Drosophila melanogaster: one gene and its partner. The protein of the gene in region 1 interacts with the protein of each later gene in a pairwise test. Each region holds a gene or a part of one and is shown on either strand. Other genes may lie near its edges. The genes, in order: CG9135 and CG13488.

Region 1 (5,579 bases):
CTTTGTATGGAAGGCACTGTAATTTACAGTTAGATCGTTGCTGTGCCGCCTTTTCAATATATTTAATTTAGCAAATATGTATTTCGTGTGCAGAATGAATCGCCGTACACTTGTAAAAAACGCTTTAAAAACTCCTCGAACTATTTTGTTGATATTGTCAAATGTGCGCGTGTGTGTGTGTGTCTGTGTGCGAGTGTGCGGTCGGTGTTTGTATGTATGAGTGTCGGGTGGGGTGGGGGCGAAAAAAAGGTAAAATGAAACTCAAGGCGCGACGTGCAGGGATTGTTCCTCAGCGGCGCACATTACTCGACAGGACCACGGCGGAAGACTGTGTCAGGGAAAAATCCGCCGGAGCTCCGGCCGCAAAGTCGCACTCCGAAGTCAAGAGTCCTCGCGCGCGAGAGAGCAGAGAGACTCGGCGAGAGAGTGAGAGAGAGAGCTTTGCGCCGGAGCTTTCCGCACTCTGACTTTCGCTTTCAATCGGCAGGACATCAGGACTGAGGACTCAAGGCTGGGACTGGGACTGGGCCTGGGAACTCAGTCGGCACAGGTCAGAAATCGGGGTATACCGCCAAACATCCCTTGGCGGACTGACCTACAGCTACCCCAGTGCGGCTAATCCTTGATTCCAATTTGTTCTTAGATTCGCCGCTCTACAGTCAAACCTCCATAAAGTTTCCTGCTCGATAGGAAATATGTGTGCCAGCTATAAGTAGCTTTAATGTTTACCATTCAGTGAAAAGCCAGTGATAAACGAGTGCAGTCTAAATACTAACATTCTCTTTATTTAAATATTCCTTTGTATAAGATTAAAATGCATGATGTACTATTAATAGTTGCAACTGGTATTGGATTTTTCCATGGTATACTTTTTATATGTAACCTATGCGCTTAGTTCGTTAATTTACGTGTTTTGTAGTTTTGTGGTTGCTTTTGCTCACTCTGTTCGAAATGAATGCAGAATACTGTAACTTGTTACGTTTAAATTACAAATTAAAAATTAAAAATGGGTAATCATGCTTTTTATGCATCTTTTTAAGCCTAAAGGTGGGCGGCAATAAATTATAAAAGGGGAACAGGATCAGGATGGAATAGTATCAGTTACAAGAATAAATTAGAGTTTGGAAACATAATCAACTTTTTTTTTCCGTTTTCTGAGATTATCGTATAGTATGTAGATAGCGAGTTTAGCGTAATAATAATCTTTTAACTTATAGCATACATTTTGCTGGATTTTTGTGTTTAGTTTCACTTTCGATAAGTAGCAGCAGAGTTTCGATGATCAGTTCTGAGAATTTCCTACATGGAGCAGTATTGTTGTTGGCAGCGGTAAACGTGTTTGCAGCAGCACTTGGAAAGCCGCACACCATCTAATCACCTAATCATCGATAGTGTACTCGGGCATCTTCTCGTACTTTTGCTTGGTGGCCTCATGGGTGGTGTCCACAAGCAACACCGTGTGCGAGTAACCCATAGTCACTTGAGGTATTTTAATGTTGTCCAACTTTGGCACCTCCTTGGGCACCGTCGACGACTTCTGGAACTCCCCAATGCCCAGCTCGCCAAACGTGGGCGATGCGCCCCAAGCGATCAGTGTGTCGTCGGCCGAAATCATAATCGATGTATTGGCACAGCCAATGTCGGTAATGTTCCAGCCGGAAAGATCCTGCACTGGCTTGGGGTACATATTTGCCTCGCCCGTCTTCTTATTCTGTCCGAACAAAAACAGCAGGCCCAGCTCGTTGACGATCAGACTGAAAGTGGAGCCGCAAAAGACGCTGCGCCCACCCCGACCCTGAGTATCGAAAAACTTCATTAAACGCGGCACCATTTCGTCCTTGGGCTCTGCGTGTCCGAGACGCCCGAAACCGCCAAAGCCCCAGCTATAAACGCGCTTCTTGGAGTCGATGGCGACCTGAAGAGAAAAATGTAGTTTAGACTTGAAATAAGTGGGGAATGGAGATTATCCACATACCGTGTGATTATTGCCGCAAGCAAAGTCAACTATCTGCACGCCATCGACTGGCGTTACATGACCCTCCTTGCTCTTCTCTATGTACAAAACGACCTTTTTGGGCGACGTCTCGAAATGGAATGACAATTTGTTGGCGTTGACAAAGTACTTGGCGTCAGTATTGTGTCCCAACTGACCGTACTCCGGCAGCCCAAATGTGTGCAGGCTACCTTTAATGTCCAGAATAACAGAGAACTCAGCTCCGCAACCGATGCGAATGATCGGCGGACCTCGGTAGTTAATTGGCGTGGGCGAATAAATGTTAGCATGCGTATTTCCCACACCGCACTGGCCGGACTTGTTTTCGCCGCAGGCGTATACGGTTCCCGTGTCAGTGAGAAACAGAGTGTGGTGCCGGCCGACAGCAGCTTGCACTATGTTCAGCTGTTCGAGGGCCGGAATAATGGTGGGCTTCTCCGCCAACTTGATGTCTTGGCTGAGGCCCAGCTGGCCGCTGGGATTACGCCCGAAACCGAGCGCCTTGCGGTCCATGTTGATAAGAATGGTGTGTGCGGCACTGGGTCCGCTGGCCACATATCGGTACTGCGAAAGAAAAGAACTCAGAAATCAAGTGGACCACGACTGTGCGGAATAGCTTACCTTCTCTTCTGTGAACCGATGGAAGCTGTACAGATTCGGCCGCACCTTCGTGACGTTCTTGCGGTCCCGCTTGCCAGTCAGGTCCCAGGTCACCATGCCGGCGATCAGCATCTGACCTGGAGTCTTCTCTAGCGTGGCCAGCAAGTCCTCGGGAAGCTTGCTAGGCGGGTCGAGGTCGTCGTGGGGAATGAGAACCTCCATCTGGTTGGCGGCCGCTGCCTGCTGCTGCACGCCATCGTCGTCGGACTCGTCGCTGAACTCGTCCTCGTAGTCCGACTCCTTCTTTTTGGGTCGCCGCTTGTTGGGTCCGGCTCCATTGCCACCTGCCTTTCGCTTGGCCGACATTTTCTCGCTAGTACTGGGTTGTATTGTGGACTGGACTGGTCTGGATCTCTCTGCTCGGCGGCTGGAAGGGAGCAATGTAGAAGATAAGTTCAAGCCCTGAAAACCGGAACCAAACTTCACACGCAGCAGAGCGTAGCGCGCACTGTGTTTATGTTTTAATCTTCATGAACTGCTGAATACGTGAAATCGAAGTAGGAAGGGTCGTAATATTAAATTTAAAAACACGTTACGTTTTTACGTTATGTATTTCTATATTTGGAAATAGTGTTTCAAAATATCAACTAAACATAATTTTCAAAACGGTAATTCCGGTTTTCATGAGCTCAGCTTCGCATAAACGGTCCAAAACCAAGCCGCTCTCGGCCGCTTGGTGGTGTGTGTTTGCTGTGCTCGCGTCTGTGTGACCCTGTGTTTGTGTGGTGGTTTTTGCACAGAAACAAAATGAAAGCCGCAGCAAGCGACGCCAACAGATATAGTGAATATTCCTAGCCTTTGATAAATGAGTTCTTGATACCCGAAAAACTACGCATTGTGTTCATAGTTTTGGCTTTCAAACTAAAAAAGTCCATGCCGAAGTTACAGAAAAGACAATGCCCGGCGCAAAATTCACCTTTAAAATGGTAGCGTCACTTTACAAACACAGAGACATTTCACGGCTTCAACGAATCAAATAAGTTTGCTGACTTCTTGCAGTCTTTTAACCATTTCGGGTTGTGTTCTTTTACTCAAATATATTTATCTAGCGGGTGAACTTACAGTTCTGTGTGCGGCTTAATTACTTTTCACAGCTAAATTACAAACAACAACGCTAGGTTACAGAGCTGGAACATGTATCGATGGCTGCTCGCGATTATCGATGTTTCCACAAAGCAACCAACGTCGATGTTTTTGTTTTCTTAGCAGTTATCGATTATTTTCGCCGTTCACACTGGGTTTTGTGTCTATCGAATTTTTAAAAAATATTATGTTCTAAATAACAATTAATATGTGGTCTATTCATTTGGACAAAAAAAGTTTTGTTCTTTCATATGTAGAACTTTGTCATCCAAAAATTAGGTTTCTTTAAGTTATCCATTTGAGTAATCCCAACATTATGTTTAACTTTAAAACCAACTTAGTCCTTCAATTCTAACAAATAACCTAAAAAACCCAATTATTAGTATGCCCACATAACTGAGTGCGCCATGATCGCCGAAATTTGTTATATCTAAAGTTTTGTTTATTGAAACAAACATGTATGGAAATTAAGCATAGTTCATTTGAAACGTATTTGATTTAGCACAAAACGGGTAATACATTGGCTTTTTGTCGGAGCAGCCCACTCCTACATCACAACTGGATGAGCGGCTGACCCTGGCGCTCGCGGTAAGCGGACACATCCGGCATCAGTTCCCTGCGAAAGCGCTCGTGGTTGCGTGCGAACTCCTCCAGTGCTTTGACCTGGCGACGCTGGCGCTCAGCACCGTTGACGGTGCTGTGATTATTGTTGGCCGCTCCCGGATCCCGGACATCGGGATAGAAGACGCTGTTCGCGATGGCAGGAGCGGGCGTGGGACGGCGCTGGGCCCTGGGCGTTCCGCTGGGGCTTCCGTTTCCGTTTGCGTCTGCAAGTAGAAAGTGCCTGTAGCCTGGCTTTGGGAATATGCAACAGATTTTGCAGAGAATGTCGCTTAGTGGCATTCCGCTGACTAAATTAGATCGGCTCTGGGTAAATGGCAACGATAAGCTGGCAATCGAAGTTCGGATTATACTGAGAGCACTCTGCTCTTATCTCTAGCTTCTACTAACGGTAGACTCACATTGTATTGGGACAAACAAACAGCTGGCTTTGGGGCCGAAAAATGCCGTATGATTGTATTTAGGCAAAGTTGTAGTTCTGCGGTTATCTATTGGCCAAGTTTCCCACTTAAAATTAGCTTTTAAAACTCAAAGCCCCGAACATGGTGATTCATTTCGTCTTTCAATTTGGTCACTTCCGTTCAGTTAATTTTTGCATTACTATACCCACAGCATTGTACATCCATTTTAAGAGTACGTGTTCATACCTTGCTTGCTCATTAGCTTCTCCTGCTGCAGGCGCGCGTTGCTCGATCCGAAGTATCCGTTGATAAATGGCAGGGGCGACATGACTACTCCGCCCCTCAGCGAACTGTCTGGTGGAGGAGGAGCGGGTCTGTTGAATGGATTTGTCCGCCTGGGCGGCGGTCTAGGCTTCGCACTCTCCGATGCATTTTGTGGTCCGTCCAAGGCGCTGCCGAGCATCTCTGTAGGTTAAAGAACGCAGCGGATTAGTGCACAGGGATTGTAGGATTAGCCATTGTGCAGTCTCACTGTTTCTTGCGTCCTCCATCTCTTGCAACTGGCGTTTTAGCTCGGCCAGGATGATGCGCTTATACTCGTAGCCGGCGCATGTTAGCGCCTTCATCCACGTCTCCATGCTGTCTTGGTTTTCGGCGGCGAGGATGTAGGTGCGATTGCCGTTGAAGGCGATCTCGAAGCAGTAGTTGTCCACCTCGTTAGACAGCTCAATGGTGCAGCCCTCGACAATGATGAGGCCCAAGGGCTCCTTGTCCAAGCGCGACTCGAAGTAGAAGAGCAGGTTGCCTTTCAGCACGAAGTA
Region 2 (3,774 bases), on another chromosome or scaffold:
GCCCGAGGAGGAGTCTGCTACCGCGATACACATGCAAATTTGTGTACAAACTGAATCAATTTTTACCGCGATAAACTTCGGCTCCACCTTTTGCGGTGGAAAAGTGGAGAGAGCACCGGATTTTACGGCACTGAGGTAACTGCAAAATGTTGTGTAAAATTTGCAAATGCAATAAATAACTCGTTTCGGTGTAACGAAAAAAAAAGGATTGCTTCTGCTGTTTACACCCCCTTACAAAGGCATGTAGCGATTCCTCTTTTTTCGCTTCTGTATCCTTTTTTGCTCCTGTTTAGGGCTTTCATCCCCCCACCGAAACCAAAGCGCGCCACATGTGCGAGTCTGGTTGTACTTCCTGTGGGTTCCTTCCTCTTCGGTTGGAATACTCTATAGAAATTAGTTATGTTGAATAAGTTTTAAATTTAAAAAAAATTTAAAACCATTAAGGTACTTGTGTTACTCTCAGCTTTAAGTTCTTTCTGGCATGGCTAAGCAAAAGAAAATAGTTTTTATTTTCAAATGGTGTATGGTATAGATCATAAAGTATTCAATAAAAAAAGAAAGGGTATTTTGAGCCTAGGCAGAACGCACTATGCATATTATCTCAATTTTTGTTTCGCTCTTCTTGTTTTTTGGAGTGCTGCAAAGCATCCCCGAAAGTATGCAAATAATTTTTGGCCCCAACTCATATTTGATATTCAGTGTCAGTTGTTGGAAGGGTTACCGAATACAAGTTATTGAAATTTGCATGCAACGGTTGGGGAGTTGATAAAGGGGAAATGGTTGGGCGGAGAAACAGCAGGCGTTGTTGAGGCAATTTATAGCACTTGTGTTAGGCGGCTGTTTCGCCGGAGGCAAAGTTCTCGGTTATTGTTTCGCCATATAAAAGGCGCTGGGATTTCTCAGCCCCAAAGGACGTAATTGTTTAGCAGTCTTCGGGCTTGATGATGTTCCCTTGATTTTTTGGCTGCGGAATTCTGAACAATCCCAGGGACTTCACCCTTTCGCACAGATTCCCAATTAAGTTTAGACCGGTTCAACGCTTTCGCATCCATCAGGATTTGGATGCGGCACTGAAAAGTTACCATCGCAACGCTAGCCGCACAAAAAAAAAAAGGACATAAAAACGCTTTAAATCCCTGGAAATCGCAAAAACTACGCTAATAACATTGTCATATGGCGGGGGTGATGGTGATTTTTTTATTTCCCTTTTTTTTTGGATTTTTGCACTAAACTTCGCTTATCAAAGTTGAAATTGCAGTTCGTTGCTGAGCGCAGCGCATTGGGGATTTGTCGGCCACTCGAAAACTCCAAATGCGAGGCATTTATTGTGGGGCAGGGATAGAGGATTTCATTTGAAACTCTGATACGAACAATCGGCGTTTTATTTGCCATTTTGGCGCTCAGAGTTTCATCATCGTACGCCACTGACCCAGTTCAAGCATTTATCACAACGGCACACACACGGATACAGGCGATTGTCCTGAGGGTCTGACCCCAGCACAATGAATGACCCCCCATATCGCATCCTCAACCTCTTCCCCCATTCCCTACCCCTTCTCTTCCACTGCCCGTCACACTGCTGACTAAGTGGACTTTTATTTCACTGCTATTACGGCCCAAGCAGCGTATACGCAATGAATAGTTTCGCTGTCAAGCTTTCGCCTTTTTCTGCCGCACTCGCTGGCCATCTTCAGTTGCTAAGCGATTTAGATTTGGGCACATATCTCACCGCTTTGGGTGGGTTATTTGCTCTCTGTGAGAGATAAAGAGCCAGTGGCTAAAACTCTTCAGACGCTTGCCTGAATCGAAATCATTGTTAAATGCAGATAACTACTGTCTGGCCCCCGGCGGCGTCCATTCATAAATTTAAGTCCAATAAACCTCCTCCTATCACTTATCTGCCGGTTCTTCACCTACGAAACGTCATTGACTTGATGACGTCATGTGTCATCTTTATGAAATTATAAATAATTTATTTCCTTTGGACAAGCGCCAACCTTCAACATGGAAATTTCAGATAGATAAGACTATCTACGACTTGCTCTGTTTCCCAGTTTATTGAGTATTGAGTAGAGTATGTTCAGTAGACGAACGCCTTTCGAGGGAACAAGTCGGCCATGAGCTATCAGAATTTACTAGGTTTTCTACTCGTGGTGGGTATCGAATATACACGAAACATCGTTAAATTAAAACATACAACTGTACATTTAAAATCAGAACAAAAGCTTTACAGCAATAAATCATCCAACATGTGTAGCTTGGTTAATTAACATTTTATAACACTCAATTCATACTAACTATGGCTTGAATATAAATGCTTTCATATTATTCCAGCTGACCCCTTCTTTGATCAATACCTATGGAGATCGAAGTCGCTATCGGTTGTATTTGCAATCAGATTACGCTCTGCAAACAATCAGCACTCAGCTAGTTTCCCAGGCAATCGAGCTGGTGGACTATGTGGTGGAAGATCTGATCGTCTTGGACTCGCAGAACTCCATTCTGTTGGGCTACTTGGATCGCTTCGATGCCTTCACTGCCGTAAATGCGAATAAAACGGAGCAGAAGCTAAATGCCTTCTATGGCGTGATTGAGGACTATCTAGATTCGGATACCACGGGAGATCCACTGAGAACTTCCAGTATCGAGACCCAGTTGATTGCGCTTTGCTTGCAGCGCAACGGATTCGATCGATGGAAGCGCACGGTTCAGACCCGGACATCCCAGCTTCAGAAGCTGATATACCGGAAGTTGAGGAAGCACCTGGAGTCCATAGACAGGGAGGATCGTTTGGCTGTGGAGCGCAGGTGGAGGAAAATCTTGACTCGTGGCGGACCCCGAAGATTGGAGAAGCTGAGGGAATTCGTCAAATGGCTGGGAAATTTCAGAGATTAGAGTGCGGCGGCCCGGGTGAACGAATTGTTAGGCAATACGATATGCCGTTTAGTGATAAGAAGAGTTATAAACATTATTTATGGGTGGGTGGAGCAAGAGAATGTTTGTGGTTTAAATATAACCGGCCATGACCTTGAGGTATTATCAATGAAAGCAATATAAGAACGAAGTTTGAATTTGCATTAAGAATGTATTTTAGTAATATTTATTATTGCTATGTTAAGCAGTTCCTTGGCTAGAAAGTGGATGTTCTTTATAAAAGAAAACGTATTCATAGCATTTGTAAATTGAACATGTACCAACGCCTGGCAGTAAGAAAGTGCATCGAAGCTATTATCCTTTTGTGTCCTTGCACTTACTCCCCCTCGATAAATGCAATTTTAGCACAGCACGTCCCCTTCCTCATCACTCGGATCATGTATGAGGGCATTGTTTAATGCACTTCACAGCTGGAGGAAACTTTTTCCAGGCCCTGTGTCGACGGCAATGAAAACTTTGTCATGCCTGGCAAAGAGGATGATAAACTTGGGTAAAAATTATGAAACTGAATATGGAAGCGTTGGCGAAATTGAGACAGCAAAACAACAGAGCCAACAGACAGGCAAAAGACATACGAGACTTTTAGCCAAGCGAGGACTAAAACTGAAACTAAAACTGATACTTTTTATGGATGGCAAGTGAAAAATGTAGACAGTTGCAGAACGACTTTCCGGGCGGGGGCCAAAGGCAGGAGGTGAACGGGATTTGCTGGGATGAAAGAAAAATGGCAACTGCATTTCCTGTCTGAGAGCTGACAAAGTGCTGAGTGCATTTACGACTTGGACTTGGGCGAGTGTTTTGTGTCTTTCCTGCAGCTGCAGGAGATGCCAGGAATTTATG

Evidence for each region.
Region 2: the proteins of CG9135 (region 1) and CG13488 interact in a two-hybrid assay, tested with the Drosophila melanogaster proteins (one large-scale study listed by BioGRID).

Annotation. Positions count from the first base shown.
Region 1 is NT_033779.5:6,049,058-6,054,636, reverse strand, and holds CG9135 (uncharacterized protein), read right to left. Parts: upstream 3,799-5,579; 5' UTR 3,716-3,798; exon of another isoform or gene 3,570-3,715; intron 3,021-3,569; 5' UTR 2,960-3,020; coding exon 2,615-2,959; intron 2,558-2,614; coding exon 1,976-2,557; intron 1,916-1,975; coding exon 1,379-1,915; 3' UTR 760-1,378; downstream 1-759. Other genes in the region: IPIP (inositol phosphatase interacting protein), read right to left, coding at 4,289-4,563, 5,005-5,223, 5,291-5,579.
Region 2 is NT_033778.4:21,949,510-21,953,283, forward strand, and holds CG13488 (uncharacterized protein), read left to right. Parts: upstream 1-2,082; 5' UTR 2,083-2,117; coding exon 2,118-2,261; intron 2,262-2,334; coding exon 2,335-2,895; 3' UTR 2,896-3,053; downstream 3,054-3,774.